Caenorhabditis elegans: one gene and its partners. The protein of the gene in region 1 interacts with the protein of each later gene in a pairwise test. Each region holds a gene or a part of one and is shown on either strand. Other genes may lie near its edges. The genes, in order: gap-3, pafo-1, pcf-11 and mek-5.

Region 1 (4,678 bases):
GATACTGTATCGTAGAAGTACGGTAGATCCGACAAATCGGCCACCTCTGTGATCTGTAAAAGCACGGAATCTGAGAATTTCACGCGGTGTTGTAGAGTGTCTCTTGATCTACGCTGATCTACAAAAAAAAGCGGCAGAGCTCTCAACTGATTTCGCATGGTTAAGAGCGTGCTGAAGAAGCCACATTTTTTTGGAAAAAAAATTCCCGCATTTTTTGTAGATCAAACCGTAATGGGACAATCTGACACCACGTGAATTATCGAATTTTCCAAAAATTTGGCAAATTATTGATTTTCTTGAATAGTGTTAATTTATTGATTTTTCTGCCCCCGAAAATCGAGATTTATCGATTTTCTCAAATAGTGTTAATAAATTGGAGAAATCCAGCTTGGACCAAAAAAAAAAAATTTTTTTGTTTTTTTTTTCAGCAGGCAGGCATTAGGTAGGCAATTTATAAATGGGTCTCGCCGCGATTTTGTACCAAAATAAGTGTATTTGGTACGCCAAAGCCTACATTAGATATTACGGGAACACAAAATTCTGAAAATGCGTATTGCACAACATATTTGACGCGCAAAACATAAAAATATCTCTTAGCGAAAACTACAGTAACCCTTTAATTGACTACTGTAGCGCTTGTGTCAATTTACGGAAATCATTTATTAATCAATAAAATTAAATTTTAAAAGAAAACTCAAAAATGACATTTCGTAATTTTTTTTTGCCATTTTTGTGTTTTCTTTTAAAATTTAATTTTATTGATTAATAAATGACTTCCGTAAATCGATACAAGCGCTACAGTAGTCAATTAAAGGGTTACTGTAGTTTTCGCTACGAGATATTTTTATGTTTTGCGCGTCAAATATGTTGTGCAATACGCATTCTCAGAATTTTGTGTTCCCGTAATATTAGCACAATTTCGCCTTTTTTAATTAATTTTTTAAATTTTTTGTAGAAAATTGTGAAAAAAAACGTAACATTTTTTTGCTTAAAAATTGTAATTTTTCATCAGTTTTTTCCTAGAATTTTCAAATTTTCAGTTAGAAATTTCCAGTCTTTCCTACTTTTCCCTACCAAAGGTTCCAAATGTGATCTTAAAATAATTCCAACGGAACCGCTCGTCTCATTTCGTCCTAACATCCATCCGGTCTCGTCGGTCTCACAAACTGACAGAATATCACCGATTTCCGAGTTCATTTCGTCGATTTCGCGTTGTTCGAATCGTCTAACGCATAGGTACTTGGTTTCTTGGATTTCCTGGAAACAAATTTTATGGTATATTAAAATTCCGGCATGCACGGGGTGCCAGCGACTGTCCCATTACGTTTTGATCTACAAAAAATGCGGGAATTTTTTGCAAAATCAGTTGAAAACTCTGCCGCATTTTTTGTAGATCTAAGTAGATCAAACCGAAATGAGACCACGTGGACATGTTTGCGCGTTAAATTTGATCTACTCGATTACGGACTCAATACACCATATTTTACGCGCAAAAACTACTACTATTACAGATAATTCTACAAAACTTTATATTCGTGTATATCGATATTCTGACCAATTCGTCATATTTGACGCACAAATTATAAATTATTACGGGAAGACTAAATTCTGAGAATGCGTATTACACAACATATTTGACGCGCAAAATATCTCGTAGCGAAAACTACAGTAACCCTTTAAATGATTACTGTAGCGCTCTTGCGTCGATTTACGGAAATCATTTATTAATCTATAAAATTAAATTTTAAAAGAAAACACAAAAATGGCAAAAAATAACGAAAAAACCAATGAGAATTGTATTTTTTTGCCATTTTTGAGATTTCTTTTAAAATTTAATTTTATTGATTAATAATTGACTTCCGTAAATCGACACAAGCGCTACAGTAGTCAATTAAAGGGTTACTGTAGTTTTCGCTACGAGATATTTTGCGCGTCAAATATGTTGTGTGATACACATTCTCAGAATTTTGTGTTTTCGTAAGACATGGAGTAATTTAATTGTTTTTTTAAATTAAATTTGCGCGTTAAATTTGATCTACTCGATTACAGACTCAAGACACTCTATTTTACGCGCAATATTATAAATTTCTTTTTTTTCTCTGAAAAATCACTTTAAAATCCAACAAATTATCCAATAATGCAAAAATTTGCGCGTCAAATATGGTGTATCACACGTGGTGTCAGAGTGTCTTATTTTGGCTTGAATAAAGTTGATCTACAAAAAATGCGGCAGAGTTCTCAACTGATTTGGCATGTTTTTGGGCGAAAAATTCCCGCATTTTTTGTAGATCAAACCGTAATGGGGCAAAAAAATACCCCATTAATCGGCATAATTCCTCCTTTTCGAACTGGAATCACAGCCAGCTGATAGGCATCTACAATATCTCGAAGGGTCTCGAAACGCTTTCCTTCGAAAAAGTAGTGAGGTGGGGTGAGTTGGCGGATGCTGAAAAAAATTTGAATTTTAAATTTTTATGTTTAAAAACCAACGGTAAATGTTTCGGATAGCCGTCTTGATCCAATATCGACAGATAAAATCTCGTCTGGCCAGTTTGCCGAACCAAAAACGCGCCGGGAGATGTGCCCTGGAATGTTTTGCCGGTTTTTTGCCATTTTTTGCCATTTTTTTTGTAATTTTTCGCAAAAGAAACCTGAAGCAAATGATTGGCATCGTGTTCGTTTAATTCCCCATGGTACCACACATCGTTTGGCGATATATCAGGCGGTGTTGGGTTCGTGTGAGTCTGCGAAAAAACAATTCCTTTTTTTTAACTTAGGATTTTTTAGAATATTTTAAACTGTAAATATAATTGATTTTCGATGAAAATAAATAATATAAATGGTATTTTTCTAATTTTTTCTAATTTTTCCTTTTTTTCCTCGATTTTCACTTGTTTCGCCCTCACTTTTAGAAACAATGGCCCTTCCGTGCTGCTGTTAGGTGTAGTATTCTCGCTTGAGTGCATAACTTTTCATTTGCACCTGAAAAATGCCAAAAAATTATTGATTTTCATCAAAAAACAGGAAAACAAATTCAAAAAAATGCGAAAAATCGGACGGGTACGCAATTTTGCGTGACGGTGTACGTACTGGGGAAATGGAGGGAAATTTGAATTTTAATTAATTTTCGATGATTTTCGATGAAAAAACCTGATTTTCAGGTAGAAAATTAGAGTTTTAAACCAAAATTTTGTTTGGAAATTCGAAAATTTGCGCTGGAAGCTAAAAAAAAACAATATTTAATTGTCTTGGCCTGATTTTGGAATGTGAATTCCATAGATATCAACTCCGCAAATGTTTTTTTTTTCTTATTTTTATCGTTTTCAGCTAATTAGAAAACTTTTTTTTTAATTTTAGGTGAAAAAATGCAAAGTTTCATCGAAAAGTACTAGAAAATGTTTAAAAAATACAAAATCCGGAGGAGGCAGTGGAAAGTGAACTCCGTAGATTTCAACTCCGTGGGATTAATCCCAGTTTTGCTAATTTTCAGTCTATTTTTTAAATTTTTAATTTGAAAACAAAACGTTTTTTTTAATTCCTTTTTAAAAAACCCATCGAAATGGAAAAAAAACCCGGGGAAGGCAGTGGAATTTGAATTTGGTAGATTTCAACTCCGTGGAATCAAGCTTGAACAATTTCAATAAAAATTCAAAGTTTCCTCAAAAAAAAAGGTGGTAAACGGTAGGAAATAGGTTGTGAATAAAGTGATAAAAGTTGAAGAAAAGAAATCGAAAGAGAAGGGGGGAGAAAAGGACGCATATTATTACACCCACGCAGTCTTCTTCTTCTTCTTTCTCACAATATACACACACACACACAGACACCAGATCACTTTTCTGTGTGTGTGTATATGTGTCTGCGTCTCTACCACGAATCACTGTCTCTCTCTCGGTTTTCTGTGTCTCTTGTACAGCGAGAGAGAGAGCACCGGAAGTTCGGATGATGGACCATTTGTGAAAGTGGGAAATGGAGGACGGAGAACACGGAAAGTTTTGGAATTTATTCAAATATTTTGGGTAATACCTAAAAATAAAGAATTTTCGTGAAAAAAATTGTCGTTGTGATAACAGATAACACAGTGATAACAAGACATGTGATTAAAAATTATGTTTTTTTTTTGAAAATTTTATTTTTTACAGCTGGAAAAGTTTAAACGTGTACACGTGGTGTCAGAGTGTCTCTTATTTCGGTTTGATCTACGTTGATCTACAAAAAATGCGGGAGAAGAGACGCATAGTTTTCAACTGATTTTGCATGGTTAAGAACGTGCTGACGTCACATTTTTTTGGGCGAAAAATTCCCGCATTTTTTGTAGATCAAACCGTATTGGGACAGCCCCTGGCACTACTTGCGTGTGGAGACAGCGCCAAAACACCACATGGTGTATTGGCTGCGCCTACTTTTTCAATGAAATTTTACATTTTTAGAGCAGTTTTGCCGTAAAATTCAGCTGTTTTTTATTGTTTGAAGAAAAAAAGGAAAATTAATGGGACAAGTACCAGCTCCTGCTCCTCCGGGCTTCTTCTTTTTTTCTTTTTTTTTGCCAATTATTATTACTCGGAGGAAGTTTTTTTTTTTTTTTTTGTTGCAATATTTTTTTTTCTAAAAGAATTTTAATTTTAAATTCTTATAACCGGTTATATAACCTAAAATTCAAAAATTGAGAAATTTTTTTAAA
Region 2 (4,072 bases), on another chromosome or scaffold:
CGGAAAGTGTATCGCCTTCCTGTCGTTTCGAAGCTTTGATTATGAGTGGTACAAGGCTTTGTGTAAGCATCATTGGACCAATTGTATTTGACTCAAACAAATCCAGAACAACTTTTCGATCAGGTTTTTGTTTTGTTACATATGGAAGCATCACAGCTGCATTATTTATAAGAAGAGTTAATCCAGATTCTCCAACAATTTCAGACACTTTTTCAGCAAAATTTGCAATTGATTCATCGGATCCGAGTGAGAGTTGAAGAATGTGAAGTCGTGGATCACAAATTCCCTTGAGAGCCTGAAAAATTGGAAATTAAGAATGCCGTAGTCCAATACATGTTGTTGGGAAATTTTTACCATATACAAATATTAGGAACACAAACCTAATACAAATAACTATAATCTCAGCAACGGATAAAGTATAAATAAACTCGAAAAAACTTACAGTTGCCTTATCAACATCTCTTGCAGTCGCAATGACATGCTGAACATTTGGATCTTTCAGAAATTGTTGAACTAATCCAAATCCCAATCCTCGATTGGATCCGGTTACCACAACTGATTTTGGAGACATTTTCACTAGAATTTAAGCATAGAATTGAATTAACAGAAATCGAAAATCAATGAATGATGATTATTATTTCTTATCAATAGTATTTCTCTTCTGTTCTGCAAAATAAACAGCGTGATGAACTGCCACAATAATTAGTTTGGTTTATTGCAGTTTTTAGTTTATTTCGGAATTTCTGAGAAGAGATCAAAGAATTAGACAATGAAGAAAACTATGATAATTTCGATTTTGGTTAATACAGTTTTGCTCTTCAATCAAGTGTTGGTTGCGAACGGGGAAAATGTGAATGTAGGTTTACACAGGAGATGTTATAAAGGACTTTCCTTGGTTCTATTCCTGAGCTTTTCCAGTTGTCCCTGGGAAATTTTCTTTCAAATATTTTTAATGAAAGAGAAACGATAGACAAAAAAAGATAGACAAAAAACTAGGCGCAATTTGTTTTGCTATTGTTATGTTTTTGTAGGTTATGAGCAATTTCAAAATAAGATCTTTCTAGAAAATTGTAAAAATATTATTTCATTCAAGGTATCCTGCCCAATTTTATCCCGAACTCGACACAAAGAACTTCGAACTTTCATGTACAAAAACTGCACTTCCGGTTTCAAGACATGCTTTCAACAAATTATGCTCACTGAAATCGTTCGAAATGAGCAACACGCATTTCTATTTGCCTCTGGTTGTGCTTCGAAGGAAATTCTCAAGCCATTCAATCTAACCGAGGAAACATTCATGAAGTTATGTGACAAGAAAAAAGTGGGACGATGTGTTCATACATACCAGCATCGAGTTTATTATGGTACACTCTGCTGTGAAAGGAATTCGGAAAAAATGTTCGGATCTTGGCTGTGGGATGTTTTCTTTGGAAGTAGTGAAGAGCTAAATGCTGAAATGGAGAATACTGTTAGCTTTGTTCAGCGTGAAAGTATCGGAATGCACGATGATCATGATAATGTAGGCTTTAAAAGTTCACAACCCCACATTTATATAATTTTCCAGAAAGGAGCATTGGCTCTCTACATTGCTGGACCATTCATTGTCACCTTTATATTTACATTATTGTCCCTTTTACAATATTATCATGTTAATGATGGCATTTTGTCATAAAATAAATATTATCGTGACGAGAACGCTGGAAATTCACAAAACAAAAAATACTTTTTGAACACCCGCGCAAAACTGGTTATGCGCCATTGTTCCCTGCTGACGCGCATTGAGCGCTTGCGCAAAACCCGTGTGTGAGAGTTTGAATTTAATTCCCTCGGTGACTAGTTTTTTCGATTTGCAGCCGTTTCTGCCGATTGGTATCTTAATATTATAACTAAATTACTATAAAAAATGCCCCAAGAATCCTCAGATGCCAAAAGGATTGAACCTCCGTAAGTATTATTGTTTTGAATCGCTAGAAAAGTTTTGAAAACATTTTGCAGACGAAAAGTGGATTTCATGCTGAAACCTCGATTTACCAATACTGTTCCTGATGTCCCATTTGATGCAAAGTTTATGACTTGTCCATTTGTTCCTCTGGGAAGGTACACCAATTTTGAAACGTTTGACATTGTTCAATATCTCTGAATTTAGATTTGTCGAATTCCAACCTGCTGCCATTTATCGAGATTACAAGCATGCAGTCATTTGTGACGACGACATGGGTTTGAATGTCGATTTGATTGATCTAAAAAAATACGACGAAGATCCAATCGAAACTGTAGGTTTTTTCCTGAAATATACAGTTTCAAAGATAGAAATGTTTCACTTTTAGGAAATTGATGAGAAAGACAATATTTTACTGGAAGATGATGGCGCCGCTAAATTGATTGCAAAACGATCTCAACAGCATTCTAAACTTGTTCCATGGATGAGAAAAACCGAGTACATTTCAACTGAATTCAATCGGTTCGGTGTGACAGCCGATAGACAGGAGACGAAGCTTGGTTATAACTTGAAGAAAAATCAACAAGTTGAAGATATGTATCGTGACAAGCAGAGTCAAATTGATGCCATTAACAAGACATTTGAAGATGTAAGTACCAGAATATATTTTTTTGATTTAAATCTACTTTTGCGTATTTTAGGTTCGTAAACCCGTCAAGGAGCATTACTCCAAGAAGGGTGTAAAAGCTGTTGAAGAAAGCTTTGTCTTCCCTGATTTCGATCACTGGAAACACCTCTTTGCTCATGTACAATTTGATGGAGACACTATAACAACAGAATTCGAAGAAGAAGATGAACGACAACAAGCACGGGAGAGCAGTGTTATTAAAGCCATGGAATTCGAAGATCAAAAATTTGCAGCAGTTTTTGTTCCAACGATTGGATGTCTTACGAGTTTTATGGATGATCTTGAGTTAGAACGACCATTTGATGAGGATATGAAGTACGAATTCTTGCTAAGCCGTGAATACACATTTAAAATGGAACACTTGCCACCAAGGGATCGTGACGTCTTCATTATGTATCATCGTAATAACGTTTTCCAGTACAACGAAGTTGACTGTAATGTCAAGATGACAAGAAAACCAAAAATGGCATTGAGCAGAAAATCCAAATTGACACTCACATACCGAAATCCTTCCGAACTGGAACAAAAAGACATGAATAAAAGAGAGGCTGAGTTATACGAACAGCCAAAGACCAGAAAACAAGAGATTCTGGAAAAGATTCAAGAGAAGAAAGAAGAAGGTGGTGAGTAAATTTAAGTTTTGAAGTGTTATTTTCCACGCGAACATGCAATTTTTCAGGAGACAGTTCAGATCAGAGCAGTGATTCTGATGACGACAAGCCGCAGAAATCACGATCTGATAGCTCTTCGGACGTTTCATCAGATGACGATTCACCACGGAAAAAGGAACCGACTGTTGACAGCGACAGTGATTGATCTCAAATTTTTAAAATTGTTTTTCTATTTATTTTACCTAATCAAATTGGTTTTTCTCAGTAAACTTGATAACGATTTCAACTATTTGTTCGATTGATCTTCATGAATCTTCGCTAAAAGTGCAAGTATGATTTGACTCACAATTGAAGAAAAAACCAACAGCGGAAACACCAACACCCGCAAAGTTCTGTTTGTGTAGGTGTCTGTTGCTTGCGCTTATGTGCTCCACGTTCTATTCTTTGATTTGTCATGCGGAAGCAACAGGATCAGAGGGCAAGACGTTTAGTTTTGGGGGAAATTCGAACTACCGTTCTGATTGGAATGCGTATTGCGAAACATTGAATATATCCCGTAGCGAAAACTACAGTAATTCTTTAAATGACTACTGTAGCAATAGATTTTCGAAACTACAGTGCATTTTTTTTCCACTTCTACGACTTTAAAGGCGCGCGTATTTATACAAAATGGTCCCGTCATTGGTCTCGCCACGCGCTCAACAAATCAAAGGGATGCGCGTGGCGAGACCATTGCGCGAAAATGCGCGCGCCTTTAAAGTCGTAGAAGTTGTAAAAAAAGCACTGTATTCCAAAAGAAATTCATTTCAAAATTCCAGCCCGTAAATCGACACA
Region 3 (6,705 bases), on another chromosome or scaffold:
GTAACCCACGAGCACGAAAGCTCACAGATTGCGACGCTGGAAATTGGGTTTCCACCACTTTCAGAGAAATATTCGAGTCGTGTGATTCACATTAAGCCATCTGTTGTTCATGTTAGTTTATTCAAAGATTTCTAAGAAGGTTTCGGTTTTCGATATTCTATGTGTTTACAGTCTGTCGTCATAGAAAATGATAATCTCTTCCGCACACTTGACACTACGTTCCGGTTTGGAAAAGTTCGTTCCATCAATTTTTGTTAAACCTCTATTAACGTTCACCTTTTTCAGGGAAAACCATCTGTTGAACGCTCATGTACTCTTCACTATGACTTAGTTTTTGAATTCGAGTCAGCTTTTCACTCAAGAATCGCTCATCTTTTCTTCGATAAAGTCGTAAAAACTATGGTTTCAGCATTTTTGCACCGCGCTGAAAAGCTTTATGGACCACCGGAATTCCCACACTCACCACCGCAGGTTTTACAGTACAAATCTTGATTTTTTTAAACTTAGTGACACTGTAATCAGAGTATTTATTTGTAAATTTTAAATTTTTTTTTCTTGCTTCTTAAATAAAAATGTAGATTCAAACTTTTATGTTCTAATTGAATAAAAACTAGCCGTTTCAGCATCGGTATCCTTATTTTTCACTATTTTTCTCAATATTTTTCTGCGGTAGCGAAACACCGATGTCCCGTTTTCTTCGCAAAATTTCGAATCATTGGGCTTCGCTTCTTCGCTCTTGTCCCGTTCTTCTTTCGTTTGCATCTTTTTTTCAACTCTCACTTTCAAATTAATATGGATTAAAACTCGTTTCGATTAAAATCTTGAAGCGAGTTCATCCGAATTTGTACAAATAATTGTATTGAACATTTAAAGACACATTCCTTATCTAAAAGCGACGTACCATGCTTTTTGAAGTCAATTAATTTTTCGGGAATTGCTCTTTAATATAATTTCTCATACTTAAAAAAATTCCTCACTATCAGAACAAGTAAAAACCTCCTGGCTCCCGTCAGCCGTTTCACAGCAAGAATCAATTGCTGGCAGCTACGAAAATGTTCTCTGCGCCTCTTCACACTCACCCGGTCGCTGCGAGACCCGCGCAAAATCGATTGACACGCCTCTACCACGCGCTTTTGTCTCTCTTGCCTGTTTTCTGTCTCTTTCGTTCATTTCTCCCAGTTTTCTTCAAATATAACGCCGTTTCTTTGCAATTTTCTCTATATGTGCTTTTGCTAACTGATTTTGTCATCTTATTTTAATTAAAATTACTTGCTAATACACATAATTCTTGTACATGTTCCCCTCCATCATCTCCTTTTACCAATTTCCTTCATTCCATCCACAATCTCTCTCTCTCTCTGTTTTTACCTCCTCGTTTCTTGTTGCGTTTATTGATCCATTTTTTCACGTCACTAATCAATATTTTCCAGATACGCCGGACTCGACTCGAAAGACAGCGCGCAGACTGTTTGGTGCGAGAAGAGGCGGACCTCAGACGGTGTGCAGTCACCCTTTAAAAAATATACATTCCCTTCCCATTCCCCTATCCCCCTTCCTTTTATGATTTTGTCCTCATTTTCTCTAAAAAATAATAAAAATATATGGAAAGTCACTTTGTCAGCTAGACTTTGGGTTTCTTGACTACTCTTCAGTTGCGATTAGCATAATATTCGCGCTTGTTGTATCAAGCTGTTGGCTCGCCTGCGCGTTTGGAGCATCACAACTTCCTGTATGTTCGTGCGGAAGTTTTGAAGCTGCCCGCCGTTATTTAGTTTTTGCTCGGGACGGTGCTATAATCTCGTTGACTTCTCCCGTTGTATTTTTCACGCAGTTTTTATTTTTCAAAAATAATTAATTTCAGCACGTGAAAACGAATATCCGGGTTATTTTATTCACCTTCGTAAATATCACAATCAATATTCATGATGGAATCGGTCGAATCGGCAGCACGAGACTATCGTGAGACGTTGGCCGAATTGAGAAACAACAACAAGACTCAAATAAATCTGCTAACTATTCTGGCTGACGACTTCAAAAAAGCAGCTCCACAAATTGTTGAAGTTATTGAGCGGCATCTGACAACGTGTTCTCCTTCACAAAAACTGTTAGTGATGTACGTGTGTGATTCGATTTTGAAGAACGTTAAGAAGCCGAACGATTATGATGCACTGTTTGCAAGGAAAATCGTAAGCATGTTCGAGCATGCTTTCCGACAGGTAATATATCAAAATTAAAAAACATCGGTCTGTCTAATCTAAGCCTTCCATGAGGGTGAGTTTTTACCCTCCCTACCCTACCCTCTGCCCTACCCTACCCTACCCTATGCCCTGGTTTTACCCTGTATTAATTCATTTTTAACGTTTTCTTAGAAATTTCATTTCTAAAAACGAAAATTTTACAAATAAAGCGAATAATGCTTAAAATTCGTATTATTACGTGAAGGCATAGGGTAATGTGTCCATAAAATACCCTGTTCGGGTAAAGGGTAAAAAAGGGTATCAACGTGCCCTACCTTTTTTTTACCCTCACGGAAGGCTTAGTCTAATCTAGCAAAGCACGCAAAAATGCAATCCAACAACGTTTCGCCAGCTTTCATTGCGGTAGTTAACAGATTTTTCGCGCGCCTTTTTGGATCTAGAAGATAAGGTCAAAACTTTCTCAGCTACAGACCGGGTCTTGTCGCGATTGAGTACCGTAGTTTTCCACAAAATGTCCTGAGAAGTTAAAACGTTTTGTTTCCAATTTCGGTGTAAAACTTTTTCCTGCTACTTCGCACGACATTTTAGCGCGTATAGCTGAGAAATTTAAATGAAGTTTCGCAAAAAATATCTACAAAGTATGTCACGTTAATTTCGCTTGCAATTATTTTTCGAAATCATTTTGAATTCTAAACATTTCAGGGAGATGAAAGAATCCGTACATCGTTGTACAGGATACGAGTCACATGGGCCAGCACCACATTGTTCATGCCTTCAAAGTTATATGAGCTTGACATGAAGGTAAACTTTCAATTTCAGATCCTGAAATCGAGCTACGATTTCGCAATATCATTGCTAATGATATTAATATTTGTATTTCAGATCAATAAGCTTGACCCAAATTGGCCAATTTCAAATCCACAGACTGGTCGTGCACTTCGTGATGATCCACAAGTTATGGCTCCTTCTCAGAGTAGACCAGCAGGCAATGCCACCAGTCCAGCGGCTTCCACGTCAACGAATCGTGTATTTGTGAACCCAAAGTTCATAGGTTCATCCACACCTGGTGCAGCATCAGCATCAAAGACGGTCGTGGAAAAAACGGTAAAATATTCTTGTGAACTTTTATTTTCACACGTTTTTCAATGTATCACTTTCTATGTTTTGTCTTTATTTTTCCACATATCATCTGATCGTTTATTTATTATGAAAAAAAAAGAAATGCTTTATCTATCATTTTTCACCGGAATCATGGAAGTTGAGAAAATAAGCGACAGAATTGGCAAAAAACACAATATTCTTCGTCACTGTTCAAATAAATTATTTCCAATTGGGTGGGATATTTGTTGAAACCGCTTATGTTATTACAGAAATCACCTGGCACAGTAAACAAGGAAAAGCAAGTGAAGAAAGAACCAAAACAGGATCCACTGTAAGTTTAATGTCTTAGGCGTGTCTTGGTGTTACAATTTGGTATGTAATGAGAAGAATCGATGTTTTAATTTTGAAAAAAAGTAATTCAGAAACAAAATGAATGAAAAAAAAAATAAAATAAATCTGTGTGAAAGTGTAACATTGAATAAAATTTCACAGTAATTTTGTCATGATCAGCTAGTCCGAAATAACACGCTTAAAAGATTAGTTTTATTTCAGTTAACAAAACATTTTTTCCAGTGACAAACTACTTCCATCAAGCTCTGCATCCAAGACATCATCATCACCGGCTGGATTGAAGCGAAAATCAGCACCATCCGAGCATCCAAATGCTCCGATTCGCAAGAAGCCACAACAACCACCAAAGCCACAGACAGCCATTGATGAGGATCTCAGATCTATAAGCTTGACGAAGAAGCCGCCAGTTCCATCAGCACAAGATCAAGATTTCCGACCAAAGACTTTGAAGTGAGTATTTAGTCTAAACTGTTTTAAAAATCGAAAATTTTGCAGGCCAACATCAGTGATAGGATCTCACGCATTTGCCCCTGTAGCTGCTCCGATCCGTCCTATGATACCTGTGCCACCACCTGTTTCAGTGGCTCCATTTGTGCCTGCTCCGCCACTTTCGTCTGCTCCTCCATTCCAACATCCTCAACAACATCATCCACAACTTCCACCTCCACCAGTTCATCAAGGAATGGGAAGAGGATATCATCATAATTCGCCTCCACAAGATCCGGCACCAATCGTTCCAGTTCAAGCTCCACCTCCACAGCAACACCTTCCAGCTCCAGAGAACGTTTACTCGTCAGAACAACCGAAACTCGATGTTCCAGCCAACAACCGTATCTTTGTCGATGGAAAAGCTTATGAAGTGATGTTTGTCGATGATACTGCAGTTATCGAGCGTGGTGGTGCTCCACATCGTATTTATTTCGCTGGACCGCCAAGAAACCTCGTAATTGATGGAATCCCACACTTGCTTCAGTTTGACACTCCAACTCAAATTGACATATTAGGATCAAAGCATATGGTCAAGTTCGGAGCACCATCCCGCGAACTTTACATTGGTGGTCACCCATTCAAAGGTAAATACACATATTTTCACAGTTTTTAATTCATATTCGAACTTTCAGGTCAATTTGGAGGACCACCGATCATTGCAACGATCAATGGACGTCGTCATGAGATCCGATTGACTGGAAGTGCTCCAGAAGTTCGCATTGAGCCTGAGCCAGCATATCATCTTACTCATTTCTTGCACAAAATGCGCGAGGAGAAGAAGATTGAAATTGCATCGGAGAAGCCGGAGAAGAAGGAGGATTGGCTCTCATATCTGAAAAATTTGAGAACTCGTAATATATTGCCAGCTCCGGCCAGATCGCCATCTTCGCCACGCAACCAGACTCCACCACCAGCTAATCTTCCAATTCCGGGAATGAATAATGCTGGACAGGTAATTAACTATCAGGATTACAGTCTCTTAAATAATTTATTGTTTTCAGAGAGGAGGTTATCATAACCGTCATCAACCACAACAGAACGCTAGATGGGGTGGAGCGAATAAACAGCAGAATATACCACCACCACCATCTGATCCATCTCCAATTGGAAGTGGTGTTGAGAAGCGAAGTGCTCCACCGGCGGCCATCACAGATTTCAATATTCGTCTCTTGCAAATTCGTTACGACTCGGTCGTTGACGCGTTGATTACCAAGAGAGCCGACGCTTGCAAGTTTTGTGGAATGAGATTAGATGATTCTCAAGGAAAGTCAAAAGAATGGCAAGATCATATGGATTGGCATGTGAAGCAAAATTTGGCACGCCACGGGTCGAACAATTCGGCAGCTGTACCATATCGTCAGTGGTATCCATCGACATCCACTTGGCTTACACCACGTGCATCTGATGAAACGAATGAGCAAGAAGCTGATAAACCCGAGGAACCACTTCCAGGAGTAGCATCTTCCGGTGTTAAAACCAAAGAATGTTCAGTTTGTGGTGAGAAGTTTGACGAGTATTATGATGATGACGAGGAAACGTGGCGATTAAGGGACACAGTTAATGTTCACGGAAAGGTGAAAATTTGTTATTCAAAACTCGTGAATTTATCAAGATTCATTACAGATTGTGCATTCTGCGTGTGCTTCCGACGCAGCTCGATCACTCGACAACTCATCATTCTTCAACGACAGTGACATCAAAAAAGAGGAGCCGTTCGACTGAACATAATTGTTTTTTTATTGAGCCTTTTTGATGGGCATTGTCTAGTCATTGAAAATATTAACAGAAATTATAAAATTCACCAAAAAATTCATTAAAGCATTTTTCCATATGCTTTAAAATTTTCAAGCATACCAAAGTTTTCCTGTTTTCTTGTTTCGTTATGGGTTTTTTAGTTTTCATTTAGCTTACACCCCCCCCCCCCCCCCCCCCCCCCCAACGTCCCAGACAATTTCAACAAATCTTGGTTGTGATTCCGTTTCAAAACCTCACCTATACATTTTCTATAAATAAAGCAAATTATTTTTAAAAATACCTTTTATATATATTTTTCCTTTTCCACCCTCCAATTTATCACATTGAAAATAAAAATCATAAAACCCCCGTTTTTCAGAGTCGACGACTTCAATAATTTTTATTTGCTTTTTTAAAATTATTTTTTCGTTTTGTTTTTTTGGTCGAATAAATCTATTAAAATGGGAAATATAATTGTTTTTGTTCACATAACGAGAATTTCAGAGATGTAGGTTCTGGTCAATTCCGTAAATCACTGACACTCCAAAGTTATGAAATGCCGCAAAGACTACTGTAGGCAGTATCAATTGAATCAATTGTTAGAAACCTGTTTCGAGAAGTTTTGGAATATTCGTATTTCAACATTTTATTGGCTCTAAATTGTTCAAAAATCTCAAATTTTGGAAAGTTTGGTAAGTTGCCAAAATGACTAGATACTTTTAAATATCTAACACGTTTTGGAGTTTGCTACGATATTCGGGTTTTTTGGATAATTATATTCATAAGTAAAAAATCGGATAAATGCTGTCAAAGTTGAAATAAACTATCCGAG
Region 4 (5,083 bases), 4.8 Mb from region 1:
GTACTCCTTCGTAGCTTGTCTGTTAATTTGTTTGTTTCTGCTGCAATCTTTTCAACTGTCTAACGCCTACTATTCCAGAGCTTCTCTCTTTGATTTCTTGACAACTCACAGTCATAATGGACCCATATCAACAAGGAGGCCGTGGCGGTGGATTCCCAGCACGTGGAGGTCGTGGCGGAGGTCATGGTGGAGGATATCCACAAGAAGGTTATGGTGCCGCTGCTGGTGGCTACGGTGGATACGATCCATACAATCCATATGGAGCCGCTGGTGGATATGGAATGTATCCAGGTCAAGGATACCCACCACAAGAAATGACTTCACCTTTGGATGCCGAGATTCAGGCAGTTTTACGAGAAATTCATTTGGAAGTAACTGGACTGGAAACCTCGGGTGATCAGTTTAGAAATGCCCGACGACTCTTAAACTCCGAGAAAGAACGTTTGGAGAACAATATTGATCCAGAATGGCTCGAAGTTGATGTGGCCAAGCCAGTTAAGGTTTGCAAGAAGATTCTTGTTCCGATTTACCGTCATCCAAACGTGGGTTATAGTTTACATTTTATCTTTTACAAAATTCAATTTTCCAGTTCAACTTCATCGGTAAAGTTCTTGGACCGAAGGGAGCAACTCTCCAAACGCTATGCAAGACCCACAAATGTCATATTTACATTTTGGGACGTGGATCCACCAAGGATCGTGAGAAGGAGGCTGAGCTTTTGGCATCTGGAGATCCACAACACGCTCATTTCAGTGGGCCCCTTCACGTAAAGGTTGAAACTGTTGCTCCAGCATACATTGCCTACGGACGTGTCGCTGCGGTAATTGAGGAGTTGTCAAGAATTTTGCAACCGGTAAGGAAAATAGTTTTCAGATATTGTCATTTCATTTTTGGTTTTTTGTTGTTGCATGTGTCATCCACCTTTTTACTAACAGAAATATCCAAAGTGTCGTTATTTTTTTCAGATTCATGAAGATACAACTCCGGCTCATTTGAAAAACGGCTCCGGAGATGGTGAAGAAAAGGAAGACGAAGAAAAGAAAGAAGGCGGAGAAGGTGGTGGAAGAGGTGGACGCGGTGGGCGTGGAGGATTTAGAGGAGGCTTCCGTGGAGGACGTGGAGGATTCGGTGGACCTGGTGGACCAATGGGAGGAAGAGGTGGAATGGGAGGAATGGGTGGACGAGGAAGAGGAGGCCAAGCTGCTGGGTATGCATTCTAAAATATAAATTAGTTATAAAAAATAAAATTTACAAAAATTATTAAAACCAAATTTCCAAAAATTAATTCTAAAAATTTTAATAAAATATATAAATACATGAAAACATTTGCAGATTCCGACCATACTAAAAACCCCAAAAATTCACCAAACGCTCCAAATCTGTCCAAAAATACAATTCTCAAATATTCAACCATCCTAATCAAAAAATATTCAATATTAATGGAAACTATGCCCGAAAAACGTTTTGTTTCCTTTTTATCTTATATTTATTTTTCTTGTTTCTCTCTCTCTCTCTCTCTGCTCTTTTCTTTTTAAAATGGATCTCCATTCCTTTCTTGATTTGATCCATGATCATATCTAATTTGATAATTTATTTTGTTGATATCTTCCAAAAAGTTTTCAAATAATTTAATCAAACGTTGAAATAAAATATGTTATTCGGGAAAATGCGTGATTGCTACTAAATTATGAATATAATTGCAGAAAACTACTATAAAAGTCGCGTGAATTTGCATAAGTAATTTGTTAAGGAAAAATGAAAAAAATACCTGAAAATGGGTGGGGAAAGGAATTCGGAAGTTATTTTCTCTGGAAATTTCTGAAATTCCTACAAAAATGTTAGAATTTTTAATGAATAAGATACCAAAAATGTCTTGAATTTTCCGCCTACATATGCTCACCGAGCCCATCCTCTTTACAAAAGATAAGAGCCTCCAAAGAGCAAATAAGATAACGAAAAAACATTTTCACTTTCTTTTTCTTTCTATTTCTCTCCAAGCAATTGTTTCGGTTCATTTTTCTATAATGTCTGGAATTCGAACATTTCTTGTCTATTTCGAGTTGGAAAAATGTATTGGAGAACTGGCAGAGCCCAGATGTTTACAGGTTAATTGGATTTTTAATTAAAAAAAATTTAAATATCTTTGATGCCACAAATCTGAAAAATACTAAATTGTTCAACTTTGGAAATGTATTTTTCTCGTTTTTTCGAACTTCTTACAAATTTTGAGTAACTCAAGATCTGAGCACGATATTTAAAAAAATTAATTTAATATTTGTGGCACGCTTTCGAACATTTATTGAGAAACAGTGCAAATTTTATGTTTTCCAGCTTCCTGAGCATTTGTGGCGATTTTGGGATATTCTCATTGCCGAATTGAAGTCTGAAATTCCAGAAATTCGGAATAATTTCAAATTAAAATATAACGACGTTGACGGCGCGATATTAAAAGTTCGCGGAGCTGATGACTTTGAAAAATTCTCGGAGAGACTGGAAAATACCGATGAGAACGAGGAAATTGTATTAATACTCGAAAATATTTCGTCAAAAAATGATGAATCTTCTGGAAACTCTCAAAACGTTAGAATATTTCCATCAGAATTGCAACGTGGCAAATATGTGGGCAACGGAATGCATGCAACAGTGAGAATGTGAGATCCCATAATGACAACTTGACATTACTTTTATGCCAATTTTTCTTTTGAATTAGTGTAATACTTCGGAAAAAAGGCTATAAAGTAGTGCGAAACAGGAAACTGTATTGACGAATTTTTTTTGAATTTAGGGCACTTCACGAAAAAACACAAAAATGGTATGTAATCAAGACGATTTTGTCACAAAATACCGATAAAACGGAATATGAGAAAGAAATTCTCGCGTATGAAGAGGTAACATGATTTTTATTAAGATTTTCAACTAGTAAACGTTTTTAAAATAATTTTTTGCACACTTGGACAGATATTTTCTCTTAAAGCTTATTAAATATTTAAATATGAGAAAATTTTTTTAAACTGAAAATTCAAATGTGTATCGGATGGTAAATCTCATAAACGAAGCTGTGATACGATAACAGGTAAGGTTTTGAATTTTTAAAAGAAATGTTTCTGTTTTCAAATTTTATAAACTTGAGCAATAAATACATTTTGGTTCAAAAATAATTTTCCGAAAATTGATAAAACCTATTTATGATTTTCTATTTTTATTATTCTCAAACAATTATCGATGATTTTTAAAGTGAACAAATGTGAAAAATTGTAGAAAACATTTTGAAAATTATTTCAGATAAATTCAGTTTTATATCTAAATAATTTCAGTGTTCACAATCCGATTACGTAGTTGGTTATCATGGTTGTGAAGTGAGCAGTATAAAGAAAGAACTTGTGCTTGAATATATGGATAAAGGAGATTTTCGACCATTTGGTATTCTACCGTTTTCTGTTCATCAAAGTGTTGCACTTTCACTTATTCGTGCAATTCGACATGTTTGGAATAGTGGACCGGGTTATATTCATCGTGATATAAAACCGGAGAATATTCTTGTAAATTCACAAGGATATGTCAAGATTTGTGATTTTGGAGCAGCTAAGGTGAGCATTAGTTAATTTTTATTTTTGATTTAAACTCGTATTGAACTGTATTTCCAGAGAATTGACAATACATACAGGATAGCATCATCGGCAGCAGGTACACAAATGTATCAAGCACCTGAACAACAGATGGGACAAGATTATAGGTACGAATTTTTTCAGATTAGTTTCCTCTATTTTCCATCAATAGAGCATGTTCAAACATTTTATCTGTTGACGCAATATTTTCATTTCTTATAAAAGTTGGTATTTAGATAGATTAGCTATGACTAATGTGGTTAAAACGTTAAGTGTTAATCCAGCTTTAAGCAGCTAATAACAGGATCTCTAAAGCATATATGAATATTGCACATTGGAATATTTTCTTAAATTTAATTTTAACACTAATCACGAAATAAATTTTTAGCGAAAAAGTCGATATTTGGTGTTTCGGGCTCACACTTTGGGAATTTGCTATCGGTCCGAATCTGGAAGAATATCTCAATGGATTGTCATCTTATGAAGAGATTACTGTAGAACCGATTGATGGTTTTCCAGAGTCATTGGCTGTTCTTATATCTAATTGGTATGCTTTTTCAAGTTTATTTGTCTTGGTTTAAAAAAAAACATGTCTAGCCTCTATTCACATACCAATTTTGTCAAAATGTTTTTCCTGGTTCCAAAAACTAGCTGTTCTTTTTATTTTATTGCACTTTCGACGAGTTTTTATTATTTGTTAGTTGAAAGTTCTGTAGTTGAATGCCATTTAATGCAAATAATTTGAAATATTTTCAGTCTTCGTCGTCAACCATCGGCTCGTTGGAATGCTGATCAAATTGAACAAAGTGATTATCTACGAGATCTTCCTGAACCGAATCGTCAAAGTGTTGCTAATTTTGTGAATAACTATTACCAACGGTAGAAAACAGTTTATTTTGTTTAAGTTCACTCTCTTCTACAAAATAAAAAATTTTTGGATCAAAAAAAGTATTTGGACGAACGGTTGGTGGGATTTTTTGGTGGAAGGATGGACTGAAAATTCGGGGAAAAAGGACAGGAAAAGTTGAGGAAAACCGTTGAAAATGTGTGAGAAATTGTGTGCGAGAAATGAATGGTGTTTTAGTCAACCGGGAAGATGAGAGCCAGCGAGGAATATTTTTAGAATTAAAATTATGATTTAGAGCTAATTATTCTTAAAAGAATCTCAATCGTCTAGTGGCTCTTTCATTAAGAATTGTTGCAATTTCTGCTATCCTTTGACGTAGTTCAATTTCATCTTGTTCTTCTGCAGCGGCTTCGATAAGTGCTTCTTCTGGCACAAAGATTACCTGAAAGTTTTAAATATAGATTCAGATATTACGGAAACAAAAATTTTTCGAATTTCGAAAGTCGACACGGTCGCTAGTCGTTTAATGAATTACTGCAGTTTTCGCTACGAGATATTTTGCGCAATACGCAGTCTCAGAATTTTGTGTTCCAGTATATCAGTTTTGTAGCCCAATTTTTCCAAAACCTAG

Evidence for each region.
Region 2: the proteins of gap-3 (region 1) and pafo-1 interact in a two-hybrid assay, tested with the Caenorhabditis elegans proteins (one large-scale study listed by BioGRID).
Region 3: the proteins of gap-3 (region 1) and pcf-11 interact in a two-hybrid assay, tested with the Caenorhabditis elegans proteins (one large-scale study listed by BioGRID).
Region 4: the proteins of gap-3 (region 1) and mek-5 interact in a two-hybrid assay, tested with the Caenorhabditis elegans proteins (one large-scale study listed by BioGRID).

Annotation. Positions count from the first base shown.
Region 1 is NC_003279.8:2,007,514-2,012,191, forward strand, and holds the start of gap-3 (SH2 domain-containing protein), read right to left. Parts: upstream 3,013-4,678; 5' UTR 2,967-3,012; coding exon 2,907-2,966; intron 2,745-2,906; coding exon 2,652-2,744; intron 2,586-2,651; coding exon 2,491-2,585; intron 2,447-2,490; coding exon 2,317-2,446; intron 1,258-2,316; coding exon 1,075-1,257; intron 54-1,074; coding exon 1-53.
Region 2 is NC_003283.11:11,519,863-11,523,934, forward strand, and holds pafo-1 (RNA polymerase II-associated factor 1 homolog), read left to right. Parts: upstream 1-1,840; 5' UTR 1,841-1,903; coding exon 1,904-1,944; intron 1,945-1,995; coding exon 1,996-2,097; intron 2,098-2,146; coding exon 2,147-2,273; intron 2,274-2,327; coding exon 2,328-2,588; intron 2,589-2,640; coding exon 2,641-3,250; intron 3,251-3,306; coding exon 3,307-3,443; 3' UTR 3,444-3,522; downstream 3,523-4,072. Other genes in the region: C55A6.7 (DeHydrogenases, Short chain), read right to left, coding at 1-295, 443-571; C55A6.11 (uncharacterized protein), read left to right, coding at 770-856, 1,094-1,519, 1,565-1,672. UniProt on the Caenorhabditis elegans protein: Component of the PAF1 complex which is a multifunctional complex involved in transcription initiation via genetic interactions with TATA-binding proteins, elongation and transcription-coupled histone modification.
Region 3 is NC_003281.10:5,023,483-5,030,187, forward strand, and holds pcf-11 (Polyadenylation and cleavage factor homolog 11), read left to right. Parts: upstream 1-1,861; 5' UTR 1,862-1,925; coding exon 1,926-2,216; intron 2,217-2,900; coding exon 2,901-2,999; intron 3,000-3,080; coding exon 3,081-3,302; coding exon of another isoform or gene 3,303-3,548; intron 3,549-3,568; coding exon 3,569-3,630; intron 3,631-3,872; coding exon 3,873-4,100; intron 4,101-4,145; coding exon 4,146-4,723; intron 4,724-4,771; coding exon 4,772-5,091; intron 5,092-5,140; coding exon 5,141-5,713; intron 5,714-5,762; coding exon 5,763-5,861; 3' UTR 5,862-6,165; downstream 6,166-6,705. Other genes in the region: R144.13 (Coenzyme Q-binding protein COQ10 START domain-containing protein), read left to right, coding at 1-111, 172-234, 286-492.
Region 4 is NC_003279.8:6,800,308-6,805,390, forward strand, and holds mek-5 (mitogen-activated protein kinase kinase), read left to right. Parts: upstream 1-1,892; coding exon 1,893-2,105; intron 2,106-2,331; coding exon 2,332-2,651; intron 2,652-2,785; coding exon 2,786-2,888; intron 2,889-3,314; coding exon 3,315-3,587; intron 3,588-3,644; coding exon 3,645-3,733; intron 3,734-3,993; coding exon 3,994-4,152; intron 4,153-4,361; coding exon 4,362-4,488; 3' UTR 4,489-4,553; downstream 4,554-5,083. Other genes in the region: E02D9.1 (K Homology domain-containing protein), read left to right, coding at 117-542, 590-853, 966-1,207, 1,333-1,348; K02F2.5 (Conserved secreted protein), read right to left, coding at 4,760-4,894.